3 linked regions of the Drosophila melanogaster genome follow. The gene in region 3 interacts genetically with the main gene of each other region. Each region holds a gene or a part of one and is shown on either strand. Other genes may lie near its edges.

Region 1 (4,951 bases), 6.5 Mb from region 3:
TGTATACGCATATTGAGTTTCGGTTAATTAAAATGTTCAATAATATGATTGTTGAGAGCGATTTGAGAAGACTCAAATAAATATTTTAACAATTAAAGAAAAGTTATGATACCACAGTTTGCAAATAAATGGGTCCGATTTTCCAAATAATTATAATTTCAGCTCATATGCAGCGAATTTAGTATTTTTTGAACCTCCGTATTCATTATTCATTAATAATTCAAGCCATCCTTTATTTTACTCCCGTTGCCACTATAGGCTGCAATTGTTATTGAACATGACATCAGAAAATGTCGTTGAACCCACGAAGAGAAGGCAATTGTTTTAGAGAGCCACATGCAAGAGCCGTGTCGGCATTTATTCATATTTCCCTGTGTTCATGCGTGGTGAAGTTCCGATTTAGTTGAGCGTTCTTCTTTCGGCTCAGGTGAAGTGTGTGTGTGTGTAGACAAATCATTCGAGTTTGTGGCAAGTCAATAATACTCAATAGAAGGCAATTGTTTTAATAATTTGTCAGTAGCTAAAAAAAAACATAAGTGACAACAGACTCGGTCGTCGCTCTCCAGGAAGGTCGAACGACTACATTTTAATTGACTCAGTGATATAGTGTTAATTTTTAGCTGATACGTCCGATAAAGACTACATATACTAACGGTGAACGTGTTGATGTTATAGGAATTTGAATTAGCGTAAAATTGCACAGGAAGCAAATATTCACCTAGTCTGGCTGGGCATTAATTGACTCGTAATTTACGTAGAGGTAAATACACACATTTCAATCAGATTAGGACAGTAGAAGGAGACGAAATCGCATTTTGTCGATACAGTTTGGTGTGTGGCTAGATTTGATTTCAGTTATACGACCTGTAAGCTGTGACTTTGTGCTGTAATATTGTAAAAGTTAATTTAAAATGAAAAAAGAATATACTGCTAAGTTAGATAACCGTATACTTCAGTGATATTGGCCATACTGCCTAACGTTTTTATAAAAGTGTCCTTTTATTTATTTATTTTGCATTACACAACCCGTTAAAGTTAACATTTAACACTTTCTGTTTACTTTTTATTTCCAGGTAAGTCCCAATATTTCAGTATTTAAGGGTTTTGTGGTCAGGGAAACGGAGAATCTGAGCCATCGACGTAAACACATGTGTTTATATGTGCACATGAATTTCTATTTACATAAGGGAGCTCAGGAACACTCATATTTGGTCAAGTGTTAAATCAAAGTGACTAACGACTATGTTTATAGATTTTGCCCTCCGACTTTTCGCAAAATATCCCCAGGTATTCGTTAATATATTCTTAATATTAAATGGTATGTCCAGGCGCGAGTCCCCACTGCGAGTCCCTTCTGGATTGGATACTAGCCATTAGTATTCCCACGATGTAGACTCTAATATTTTCTATTTCAGCAATGTTCCATAGCATACCTTATCAATGACGAGTTCAATGGCGTTCACAAGAACCCAAGCGGAGACATTTAGAAACAAATAATTTGATTTCCAGTGACGCGACAGTGCTGAGTTATTTTGGTTACGTGAACAAATTAATACAACCTGACATTTTGTCAGTAACAGCGACGAGTTAATTGTTTTCAACTCGATTTGATCTTTGCAATCAACGCACTTTGTGACTAATTGTTGTCGTAATTACAAAACTGTGCAGTTTATCTCGGAGCATCTTAAGAGAGAGGCACTTGGAGACGAAGAGCGAGACCACTCTTCGACGAGCCATTGGACTTCTGGGCCAAGATAAAAGAGACTAAGCACACAAAGATGGATCGAAGAGCGAGAGAGCGGGAACGGTTGGCCAACACGCGGGCAGCGAGCTTGGCTCAAATGGCACACACATAGATGCCAAGGCGGCGGGTGCGAGTGTGTCGGTGCGGTGGCAAGCGGTTAAAACCTTTCTATAAAAATTTCATAAACGTATCAGTTGTCTGCGAAGCGGTGCACAAAACGGACGTGTAAACGGAAGCCGCACGAAAACGGCTCGGAAATCGGAATAGCGCCCGTACACGCAGCACATAGGAAATCGAATCCGAATCTGAGTTAAATGCCTTAATCGAATTTGGCCAAAGCTCGCCTACCGCGCTTACAAGTTTTTTCGTTCACGGGCCGATGAAATCTATATAATCTATTATCCACAAGCCACCACAGAGCCACTAGATGCACTGTGCGGCGCATGCGCGACCTGTTTGTGTTGTTGGCATACTTCTAACAGTCAGTGTTTTCTTTGTTCAAAAGTGCCTCAAGTAAAACCCCACTTTGATATGGATAAGTGGTAACAAGAGCAGCAGTAGCAGCAAAACTGGAAAAGGTACAAGCCCAGGGAAGCTGCAGTGTGCGGAACATTCCTCTGGTGGATCCGAACTCAGAAAAAGATGGGAACAGAACTTTCTATTTTCTTTACTGTTTCGCGTGTGTTTCGCTGGTCATGCAAACATATTTTCTTTGCCTCGGCGCATGCCGCTGGAATTAGAACGGTGTATTCCGTGCGGAATACAAAGTCGAGCTTATTTCGTAAGAGAATTCCTGCGAATCTGGTTATGCAATGCCTGACAGCCCACAAAGTCGTCCTCAAGTTGTTGCGAACTTTATCGTTTACTATGTGCTAAAATGCACAACTGGCTTGCCAAACGGGTGATACATTTTTGTAAGTGCTAAAGCGCTCAGTTCCGTGCACATGAACTTTCTTATACACTGCTGTGCACTTCCACGGCGTTTTTTTTTTTCAGACACCATACCAGGCCTCAGAAATCATATCAATTTCGACTTACGTGACTTGGGCAAACTGCGCCATTTCGCACATATTCTTTGCGTTTAGGCTAAGATTTAAGTTGGCTCTCAGGCTTGGAATTAGCGGAGTTTAGGGCCTTCTTTTATATCGCTTTTCAGCCTTCTCTTGCTGCACTGTGCCGTGGTCGTAAATTTCCTGCGTCATGAGTCATGCCTGTCAGTCGGAGTCGCTTAACAACAGCAGTGGTAGCAGAAAAAAGATAAAGATACAGATACAAAATATTCAGTTGAAAAACACATGAAAATTGCTTTCATGGTATTGAGTGTGGAGCTCCAGATGAGCTAAAGAGAGGCAAAAAAGCTCATTGTTTATGGTAGCTGGCTTCGTGGTCCGCTCTTTGTTGTTGGCATTCCGAGCTGTAACCTCTGATTGTGATCCCTTCGAATTACTCCTTTCAGTTCATTGGTTCTCTCTTCAGCTCCTGCCACTTAAGCTATTAACTGTGGACCGTGCACTTTCCCAAAAACCTCTTATACATACGCTGACGATACTTTGTTTTCAGTTAGAATAAATAAATACAGTAAGGGAATAAAATAAATGTGGTTTTTAAAGCATATATGTGCAATCTCGGAGTCACGTTCCTACTGGAATATTTGCGTCGTCCTTGCACTTCTCTTTTTTGAGTAACGGGTATTTGTTAGTCAAAGAACTCGCTTTGGTGTTTTCTCTTGTTTTTTTAAGAGTGTTGGCGCCACAAAATATTTGATGAATGTGAAGGACGTTCAATTTCTTTTAGTTTCTCTCTTAAAAAAACAATTTTTTTATTAAATTAAGTACACGAATGTCGCGGATATTAATATATATGAAAAGTTCGACATATCGAATAAATTCGAATTCCATGAGTGGAAGGGAACTAAGTCTCGTCACCATTGTGCAATGACCTAAATCACGGTCATAAAATCAAAGCCAAACTTTTTTTTACCATAAGTTTTGTTGTGTTGGTTGAGGTTGTCGGTCAATGGCTATGTTTTTGCTGGCCAAATAGCTTACTTTTGATTTCCACATTAATGGAGCGCAGCAAGCGAATCACAATGTTATTTGCATTAAATTTTTTTGGAGTCACGGAGAAAGTACGCACAAAAGCTATAAATTAGACGGCATCACACAGCTTCTTAATTCCTATCGCTCTCTTGCAATGATTCACTTTTTTTTGGCTACGCAACGTAGACTCGCTCACAGATTTGGCTGAAAACCATCATGTCGAATGGCAACAGAAAGAGTTAGTGTTTGATTTTCGAGGTTTACTAGTTGTGGATTGGCGCACTAGAAGGAAATAACAAAAAAGCAGACAAACATAAAAAACGTTAAACCGGTTCAATTTGGGTCGTAGTACCTTTGAGTGCAATTGTTACCTTTCAGAAACAACGACAACAAAGACTTCGCCAATCGCACTCCATTCCACTCGCTCTGCAGCTCATTATACCCGTTATTATGTTCGTCTTGTTCAGTTTTCTTGGCACGCGTTACCGTAAAAAAAAAAAACTCCCACACAAGCAACCGAAAACACATCGAGCGATATTTTGTAATGACCATGCTTCGAATCGGTTACCATAGGTCAGTCAACAAGTTCGGTGTGAGTTGAGCTTTTATTCAGGGATAAACGCACCGTAGTCTTTTTGTTCATACTCGGTTAGTAACAAAAACTATACAAATCTTTAAAACACTCGAACAATTTTGGTCTTTTTGTACAACTTAACGTATGTAAGAATGTGTAAAATATTGTAAAACACAACGATTTTCTACTAATGTTTTTAAAACATTTTAAAGATATTTTTAAAATATCATATACCGATTCCTCTGAAGTCCACCTACGGCTGTCTAATTCGCTAGATGTTGACTGTAAAAGGTACAGGGTTTTAAAATTGTTTCAATAAAGCAAAATGTTCCCGGATATGTTTCGATCAAGAATATATATATATATATACATTTTATATATACTTTTCAACGAATCTAATTTCCGCTTTTTATCTTCAACTACAGGAATAAAAATATAATTTCTTGGTACACGACAGTATTAGTCCTTGACGTCCGACTCGTGACAAAAACTGCTAAAAGATATAGATTACTATATGCATCAGAGCTTTCAATAGCCTTTCGAAAACAAGACGGGTTCAACTGGTTTTATACAACGTCGTTGCTGTTATGGTTA
Region 2 (4,810 bases), on a different chromosome or scaffold from region 3:
CAGCCCACAGTAAATCGCTTTTATGACCAAGGGGGTTAAGACAAGGTCGCAGACATTCGTTCATAAATAAATATTTAACACGCAGTCCTTCACAAGTGGGTTGGTTGTCGGGCACAAAAAAAAAACAGGAGTAAGAGTAGACGAGTGCCACTTTGGGATTATATTTATCACTTCATGGCAACTCATTAAATATAAATGATTTTCATTTGCCGAGAGTTGAGAGGGAATTTATTTAGTTGCAGTGGGATTGGACTTAAAAGGCAAACTTTCGTACAATTTGAGCGTAATCCTTAAGCAATAAAAACAAGCATGTGACTTCAGAAAAGTTATTACATTTCATAGAGTAAATTAATTTTTTACAATTTATTATTCGTAAATGAATTAAAAAATCAAAATGATATATTTCATTTAATTGTTAATGAAACAACATATGAAAATATCTTTAAACTTCATAACCACTTTAACATAAATATTTTAATTTTAAATATTTTTGTGGGTTTTTACTTAAATTTCATTCAGCTGCATTTCTGCTACCTTAAATTTTATTTATTTCATTGATAACTTTTCCACCAGTTATCTAATCTAAGCTTAAAACGATTTGAACGCAATCCTCAGACACTTAGTCACCGTTTTAATCTTTTCCTTATCCCCATATTTATTCAGCGCCAGCTCAACTGAAATATCTTAAAGCAAAAGGTCAAGCCATAAACCATTTCCACCCCAGCAAATGCCGCGCAAGGTGAGCACTACCCACATGTGTGCAAGGAAGATGTACAGTATCTTTGGCCTGAGATGTCAACTTGGCAAGGGATCAAAAAAGGGAGGAAGGATCTCTGGTTTTACCGGAGCACTTCAGGTAATTACGCGACTCGTACAAGTCAGCAGGTCAGTCGGCGGGTCAACAGGTAGCTAAGCGCCCCAGATATAAATAATCCTGGTAAACCACGTAGGGACATCATTCACAGCTCAAGCTGCCAAGCAGTCACAGCTTGTCCTGTCGCAGCCAGCATTTTGAAGTCTATACAAAAAAAAACAACAAAGGAGCTATTCTATCTGAAATGGAAGCCCAACGTAACAACGCCAACCACCGACGCGGAGCTCGTCCGAGCGTGGGCTATCTACTTTTTCAGTACCAGAGCGAGCTGACCCGCCGTCATGCGGAACCCACGCGGCTGTCCCGCACCAAGATTCACATAATCGATGGACTGGTGTCCCGCACCATCCGCCACATGAAGCACTGCAGCATGGAGGATCTGAGGGCCTGCAAGAGGGAGCTCGTCTACAAGGAGCAGCTGCGCGATCAGCTCAAGAACATGCGACGCAAACGCTCCTCCTCCGTCAACAAAGTCGATGCTAGTGCCAACACATCCGCCCCCGTTGTGAGTGTCAAGGCGCCATGCACTCCACCGAAACCTCGATCCTCCACAGGAGAGTTCTCCAAGATGGACATCTTCGGACCGGAGATCTTCGTTTAAGTTTAACTTAATCTATTGCAATTTTAAATTTACTAGTTTCCTTAATTGTTGACGATTAAAAATCATTGAACATGAAGATTTCTTAAGAAAATTATTCAATAAATAAATATATAAAAGCAAAATGCCAAATGTTTTATTATTTACTTAATATGTTTTCCAATGGCTATTAACAATGCATTTAAATATGTAAATTGCTAAATTTGAACTAAGCCCGACGAATTCACTATTAAAAGGCAATAATCTGCGAAAATTCGAAAAAAAAAACCAAAATTACAACAACAAATGTGGCAATTACACAAAAATGTCAATTGTCCGCGGATTTGTTGTAGGAGTGGAAATTCCTGTTCTGTAAGCCTGTTTTTGGCTCTGTTTTTGCTAGCTAGCCAGGGCTAAAATGTGTGCCGCAAAATGCCAGGCCCGAACTCTGGGGCTCAAGAGTCAAGAGTTCCCACGGAGCGAGGCAGCATCGATCCATTGAAAATTGGCCACCACTCACCGATCTGTGATAGATGCGTCCGACCGAGAGAGCCAAGAAAAACAGAAAACCAGGCAGCAGACGGGCCAAGAATGCGGTTTAAAGTTCAATCGTGCAGCAAGTGTTATTTAGGGGTTCGCAGTGAGGCAGGAATATCGATCTATTCGGCGGTGAAAAACGTGAGATGCGATGATCTAACCGAAGCTTTCTTAGCCAGCCAAAACAGAAGCAGAAGTTATGAACCTGCGACCGAAGACAACTGATATGCAAATCGTCAGCGGGAGAAATGTATACTAATGAATATATTAACCAAATCAAGTTCTAAGCAGTTCAGATGTTTTCACAATTTACCTCATTAGCTTTATGCTCATTGGGGGGGATAATATCTATAGTTTGTTGGCATTATATTATTTTCTCGTTTATTAGAATGCATTTGCCTTACCTTTTTGGGTTTCTTCGGGGCCCAAATTAAACGTTGAAATATTCCACTTGCTGTACAAATTTGTTGCTTTCTATTTGCATATCGCTGGGTACAATAAATTATGAGCACAATGTTAACAGGCGAACAAATAGAAGAAGAACGTATACACCGAGTGACGTTTTTCCTTCTATATAGCGAGCACTCTCTTCTTTCTTTCTTATTTATTATATTTTCTACTTTTCGGCAAGCACATTCGAGTGAAATGCAGCTGCGACGGCTGCTCTGGTTGTAACTGTAGTTTAGACACAAACACGTTTTCTTGCGGCCAGCCCAGTAATTACGGCAAAGGCTATTTTAAGGCCTCAACCAAAAATAACGAAAGCCGATCCAAAAGCGAAGAAACCGAGAAATGCAATCGCCGAGCAAATGCAACGCGGCGAAATGGAACGAAAAAAGCGAGTTAAAAGCTAAAAAGCCAAAATGCAAATGGTAACACGCACACCGCGCACTAACACCTGCACAAACACACACAAAACGTTCGTTCTTCGGCGAAGAAGAATCGTGTTTATATATCACCGTTGGATTGCATATATCCAACAGATCGCGTCGCGTTTCGAGCTGCACGACGGTTAACTGACGAATGACCAAAAGTTTCAGCTGCCGGACAGCTTGGAGTTCGAAAAGTCCGCCGCTCTGAGTTCGAAAAGCAAAAACGAAGCAGATCGCGCGCGCTCTCTCTCTCTCTCTCTATTTTCATCTCCGATGATCGCAGTTCGTTGCCTGAGTCTTTCGACTCTGGCCGTTGTTTTTTTTTATTTGTGCTTAGAATCTTTAGTCTGTTGTTGCCGTTGATTTATTGTCCAAAAATAACTGTTTTTTCATTGTGCATTGAACTTATGAGGAAACGAGAGAGTAAGAAAAGCACAAAATTATTTTATTATCGATTTTTTGATGACACACTTCCCCGAAAGATTTGGGTTTTCGGATGTTCTTTCTGTTATTTAGATCTGACAGATCTTTTGATCTCTGCTCTACGATTCGGCTTTAACTTTCGCTACTCGACGCTCTCGTTTGCTCAAAGACTTTTACTCTCTAGCCCAGCGCAATTACGATTGCAGCTCTCACTGCTCTCACTCGAAGTTTTGTTTTCGGACTTAGCTCTGAATTCGCTCTGTTTACTCCAGAAATTACCACCTACTGCGGTCTCGCTCACTCGCAGGGCGGCTTAGAGACGCCTCAGCTTTTTTTGGTCTATCCAACTTCGAATGACTTCTTAACGGTTCGGTACTTAATGCCTCGCTTTTTTTTACACTGATAGAATATTTTAACGTGAGCCTAAGTGATAATTAAGGCAATCATTTTTAATACATAAAGATTAAGAAAACTGTATAATTTCTAATTTATATAATAAACAAAATAATAATAAACATATTTCACAAAATCACAAATACATTGTTGTTTGTTTTTTCGTATATTGGAAAAGGCTGTAAATCAATATGCACAGATAATAAAATGTACTTATTCATCAACCAGCTCCCAATAATTTTTTATGTCCGAGAACTTTATGGCTAAGTTATCCATTTTTTTCAGTGTGCTAGTTAGTTTTTTGTCATTACTGGGCTCTCACACAGGGCGCTGGAACTGCAGCTGTTATTGTCATTTTCCTTTTAGCAACAGCTTCACCTCAACTTAGTTTGGTTCAGCTCGCTTCGCTTGAGCGTAAATTTCTGAGGTTTCCAGGCTATTCTTTTGGATACCATAATGCTGCCGCTCCTCCGCACCTTCTCCTTGGGCCATTATCAGCATTGTCATCGTTGTCGCTGTGTCGTTTGCTTTTTGCGATTTTTCTTTCAGCTTTTCACAGTTTTTCCTGCCCCATGCCTTCCACGCTTGTAGGGCTGCTCTGCTGCTGGATCTGCCATATATAGCTATATATGTCTATATATATATATTTACCACAACTGAAACCGCAGCAGTTGGCCGCCGATATGATCTGATTTATTGTAGTTTCCCGACTTCTTGTTGTTGCCGTCGTCTGTTAAAATATTTATTTACAATTTTCACAATTGGCATTTCAGTTCAGCGAGCTTGTCTCTGATTGTTTGATTGCATTGTGCCATTGTTATTGTTGCTGTTGCATTTGCTGCAGACTGTTGCCCCACTTTTACTTATGCACATAAATAATTAGAGTATTTATGTTGTAAACTGCTTGATAACAACATTTGCATCGTTAGCCAAGTTAGCACAAGTACGCCTCAAGTTTTAGGGAATTCTGAGTATGTTTATCTTAATTTGCCAAATGTTCCTCGATAACACTATTGATATTCGAGTACTAAGAGTGATTGCAACAATCAAAGCTTCGTGTTGTTTTTGATGTGAAGAGAAATTATTTGTTCTCTGAAAAATGTAACTTGGTTGTATAAGCAAATACTAATACTA
Region 3 (4,659 bases):
GGAAAAAATGTGTCCAGGAATATGAAAAGGGGTGCGAAATTAGAATAACATGTCACTCATATATTGTATCACGTAATGCGGCTAAATGTGCTCCTGGCCACGGGAAAAAGCCAGTGAACGCCAGGGTGAGGCGACTCGCCCAGGACAACATCAAACAATTGCCACAATTCACGGGCTAAAGAGCGAGGAAATATGACCAGGAAAGTGAAAACACAGAGCGCCACAAATAAGCACGAAAATGGGAACAGGACCTCGCACGTGAGTTTTTCGTACACGGTATAAGTAGGATCCTTCTATAAAATCAACTAGTTTGTTTAGCAAGATAGAAAAAACCACAAGGGTGTCTTAAGGCCACATAGATCTAAAGATCAAAATAAATTATTAAAATGCTTTTCTATAATTTAATTTAACTAACACGGAAATGTCTAACTTTGTCTTACTTTCATAGTATCTTATCAACCTTAATTGATGCATTATTATACGGTACTAAGTGGTCGTGAAGCCACGTGAGTCCATTGTTGTCACACAATTCTTTTCAGCTAGTTACACCCATGTAAGTAAAGTTGTTTTCTTTTTTTTTTAATTACATACCCACCACATAAAGCTTGAAGTTATGTGAGGGAATGCTTTTAATTAAATCTGGCATTAAGTCCTGCGACTTATGACATGCCATGACCTAAAAATTTGTTCAAAGATTTTTCATTCCATTTGCATATGACATGCCCCGACAATTTTTTACGACCGCACTTTTTTTGGGGTCCTTTTTCGGGCTGTCTTGGAGCTGGCGTTGATAAATTTTGCAGCTGATAAGGCGGCTCCCCGTTTTTCCAGGACACTTTTCACTTTTAGGGGTGGCTTTTCTTTCTCGTTTCGAAGATGGCGCAGAGACGAGATTCACGGCAGGACATTTAATTTGTTTGCATTATTTGCGCCTTTTGCGGGGATTTCCATTATCCCTCCCTCATTTTACGCGATTGTTTATTTCTCCAGCCGAAAATGGAAATATGATAAGCCTCTAAGCCACCCCTGGCTTAGTTTTCAAACCAAATCAATCAATTGATGCATTGTGCAGCTGCCCACCGATCTTGGGTAATCTTCTTCTGGGACCTAAAACTGAAACTGTGCCTGATCCTAAAACCTAATTGCATTTTGGGCTGCACTGGTTCTACCTGCGCTTACCTACCTGATCCCCTAAGATCACTTGTTCCCTGGCTTTGAGCTAATGATAATGACTCTTACGGCTACCATTTTGTTGGATTCTATTTCTTCGATTTCAGAATACTTTTTCACAGGAAATCGTGTTTGTTTTGGCTCAAATAATCGCAAACAAGTGCGTTGGTTTTCAATTCATGTTGTGCAGTGTTTAGTTTATCTCGTTTCAAGCGAAGCTCATTAGTAATGTTTAAGTTTTGAAGCACTATCGGTTTCGCAACCATCCCATTTTGAGTTCTTATCTGCAGGTGATATGATGGGAAGCAATTACGGTGAATTACCCCGGGTGATTGGCACATGTGGATGGAATAGGGCAGGGTTTTTGAAAGTACCTCAATTTTACGAGTGCAAAAAGAGCGCGAGTTGCGAAATATGACAGCTTATCGGATCAGTTCGCCGTTGACATCACCTTTCGCACATGAGGCTTTTTTTTTTTTGTGGGTCCCAATGCCTGCTTTCTGGCACGTCGACCAGACATCCAGTCGCCAAAACTGTACTTGCATTCATATTTGTTAAAATACAGATATCGAACTTTATGGTACCCGAATACACAACATAGATAGGGAATTGTACGAAGAGTAAAGTAACAGATAGTGTCATAAAATATGGTGGATGAGTGTAGTGAACTAAAAATTACTGGGCTGACAAACCACGTAGTTCATCTATTCGTACTATTTAATCGTAATATTTATTGAAGTGATATAAACTCATCTAATCTACCGAATTTATACACTGTTTTAGATTATTTCCTCCTGTCAGAAGGCAATTAAGGCGCAGCCCAAGAATTAAAGTTCAATCACATGTTCATAAAATTTTTTTTATATCTTTTATAATCTCTTTAATAATCTATATATGTACACAATTTGATAATGTCTTTCTGTGTAAGCAACTAAGCTTGGATTTCATGGGTCTTTGGTTTAAAATTATAAATTGACAACCTGCACAGCGAAAGATAGAAACTATCTACATTTTTATAAAGCCCTCTTACGGCACTTTGGTGCAAAATATTTATCATTTCAGATTGAAGTTCTCACCTTGACTTGCCAAACTGCTGCCAATCAGCTGGAATATGAGACAACTGCTGAGCAGCCAGTTCCACAAAGTCCTGCTGCTTCTGTTTGTTGTGATGGCCATATTCTGTTTGCTTTTCGCTGATTTGGCTGGAAACCGTCGTTTGCGATCGGAGGTAATTCGAATGGCTCAGGTTTATTTGGACTTTTGCGATTTGTTTACAACATTTTGGCTCTTGATACCCGCCAATCGCCGATTGCGCCTTCTATTTGTATCCTTTGCACCCACACATACACGCGACGCAAACACTCACACGCGACTTTTACTCACTCCACTTTTGTTGTGTATTCTTGGGCGATTATTGCTTTCGATTCTCTTGTTTTACGCTATTCGCATCAATCGTTTACGCGTTTTTGTTTTGCCGGCATTCGCCGCCTATTGTTGTTGTTTCAGGTCTTGTTGTTGCTGTTATTGCACGCTTGCAAGCGGGGCATTTTTACAACAACAGAAAATACTATCAACAAATTGCGCACACACACTCGAGTAAGTAGCGTTGTCTCGCTCTAACCTTCGGCAGGCATCAGGACTTGCAGCTGCAGTTCTATTTAAAACACATTTTCAGCGGCTGTATGTATTATTTGAGTGCCTTTTTCATTTATTTTCGATTTTGGCTGCACTTATTTTAATTTTCTACCTCTTTGCGATGGATTTTACTATTGGCAAACGCGTTTTCTCGCCACTAAAGAGTATACATGCGCGCAACGACCTCGACGACCGAAAAAAAATCCGAAACTGTCGAAAAAATCCCTAGCTGCGCGGGTGATGCGAAAACACATCCGCTATCGATGCTTATCGATGGTCTCACTACTATCGATGACGATGAAATGACTTTCGCACCATGTTATTCTTGCATATTATAAATTCATTATCATTTTACAAAGGGGTTTCCATAAGTAACGTAGTAATCAGTGCTCAGCTTTCTTACTAACGTAATCATAATATATTTTAATGACTGTCATCGACATTGAAAAGCAATCGATACTGGAGTGCACATCACCAAAAACGCGTTAAGGTCAGTTGAGCAATTTATTCCAAATGGCGCGTAATTCAAAAGTTAGGACCAAAGTCAATTACACATCAAAAGCAACAAACATTATTATTTCGAGGACATTTGCAGTTGGGATATTAATCATATGAATTTATATCGGTATTCAAAAGGTTTGCTCCTATATTTTTAAATATTTTAAAATTTCACATATTTTCGGTTTTACTTTACACAAATTTCTTTTTATGAGAGTCACAGGAGATTAATACTTAAAAATTTTAATGGCTTTCGAAATGTACCTCAACTTTCTCCCCGACTGATCTTGTTCATAAGTACGTTATTTCAGAAAAATCCTTTGACAGAAAACTTTATGCTCAAACCAATGGGAAAATCTCCTGTTTGAAATGCATTTTTTGCAGTTGGCCAGTGATTGCCACCCCCGAGCAACCGACGTGCAGACAGGTTGTGGTTAAAAGTTGTGGCTCTAAAAAAATGCATGTGGCAAAGGAACACTCATTTTAAAAGCGCCGACCAGCAACCAGCAGGAACTTTAAAGGCTGAAAAAATGAACATATCACTTTTCGCCTCGGAGAAATGTGAACGCAATAAAAAATCCGACCAAGGCCGACAAATTGTTGGTTGGGCGTGGGGTGGGGGGCGTGGCGTTGAAATGATAAATTTCACATTAAATGCCAGCGCTTAAGCGAAAGCGTCGTAAAAATAAACGACGGGGTGAAAAAGAAGGGGGAGGCATTTTTTTTTGGACTGGCAGGCCGCAAAAATAAGTGAAATGAAATTCCCTTCATTAGCGTATCATCCGTATGCCCACAAAATGTGGGTCAAGTTTCGAGGACTTGGATCAAATTACCAGAACCGGAGATTTTTCGCTGCTAATTGCAGGTTTTTTAAAAGCAGCACACACATTTCCCCACCAGACGCCACTGCAATTTTCAGTTTTAATTAATCCGAGCTACCGAGTCTTTCGAGTATCCGTATCTGTATGTGCATCCGCATCCCTGTATCTGTTATGCCAGCTTGAAGTTGGGCAACTTCTGGGCACCCACAAAACGCGGCGACTGATGGTGATTTGGATTCTGATTCGGATGTTCTTCCCATTCAAAGCTTTTAGGTGCCGACACGAAAAGGCGCTTAAGTGAATTAAGCCTGTGTGTGGTAATATATAAATTAAGGCATGCACTTCGGACATGGAAATTGCTTAAATATATAAAAGGTTCTCTCGTTTAACTTGGCAAATCCATTGTTCATGGCACTAAAGACTTTCACTGCAAATCGCTTCCTAAGAAAGTTGTTAACTTGGGTAGAACTAATAAAGGCAAAGATTTTAAATCCAGAGCCATTAGGAAGTTCAGAATATTTGCTTAAGTGATACT

Evidence for each region. Genes that interact genetically often act in the same process or in processes that back each other up.
Region 1: of fra (region 3) and Src42A, changing one suppresses a phenotype caused by changing the other (phenotypic suppression), as found in Drosophila melanogaster (one study listed by BioGRID).
Region 2: of fra (region 3) and RhoGEF64C, changing one enhances a phenotype caused by changing the other (phenotypic enhancement), as found in Drosophila melanogaster (one study listed by BioGRID).

Annotation. Positions count from the first base shown.
Region 1 is NT_033778.4:5,991,056-5,996,006, forward strand, and holds the start of Src42A (Src oncogene at 42A), read left to right. Parts: upstream 1-1,936; 5' UTR 1,937-2,322; intron 2,323-4,951. UniProt on the Drosophila melanogaster protein: Required directly or indirectly for the phosphorylation of drpr which is necessary for the interaction of drpr with shark and subsequent glial phagocytic activity.
Region 2 is NT_037436.4:4,690,988-4,695,797, reverse strand, and holds the start of RhoGEF64C (Rho guanine nucleotide exchange factor at 64C), read right to left. Parts: upstream 3,016-4,810; 5' UTR 2,393-3,015; intron 1,594-2,392; exon of another isoform or gene 1,476-1,593; coding exon of another isoform or gene 1,059-1,475; exon of another isoform or gene 953-1,058; intron 1-952. Other genes in the region: CG15876 (uncharacterized protein), read left to right, coding at 1,059-1,475.
Region 3 is NT_033778.4:12,527,414-12,532,072, reverse strand, and holds the start of fra (frazzled), read right to left. Parts: upstream 3,021-4,659; 5' UTR 2,347-3,020; coding exon 2,247-2,346; intron 1-2,246.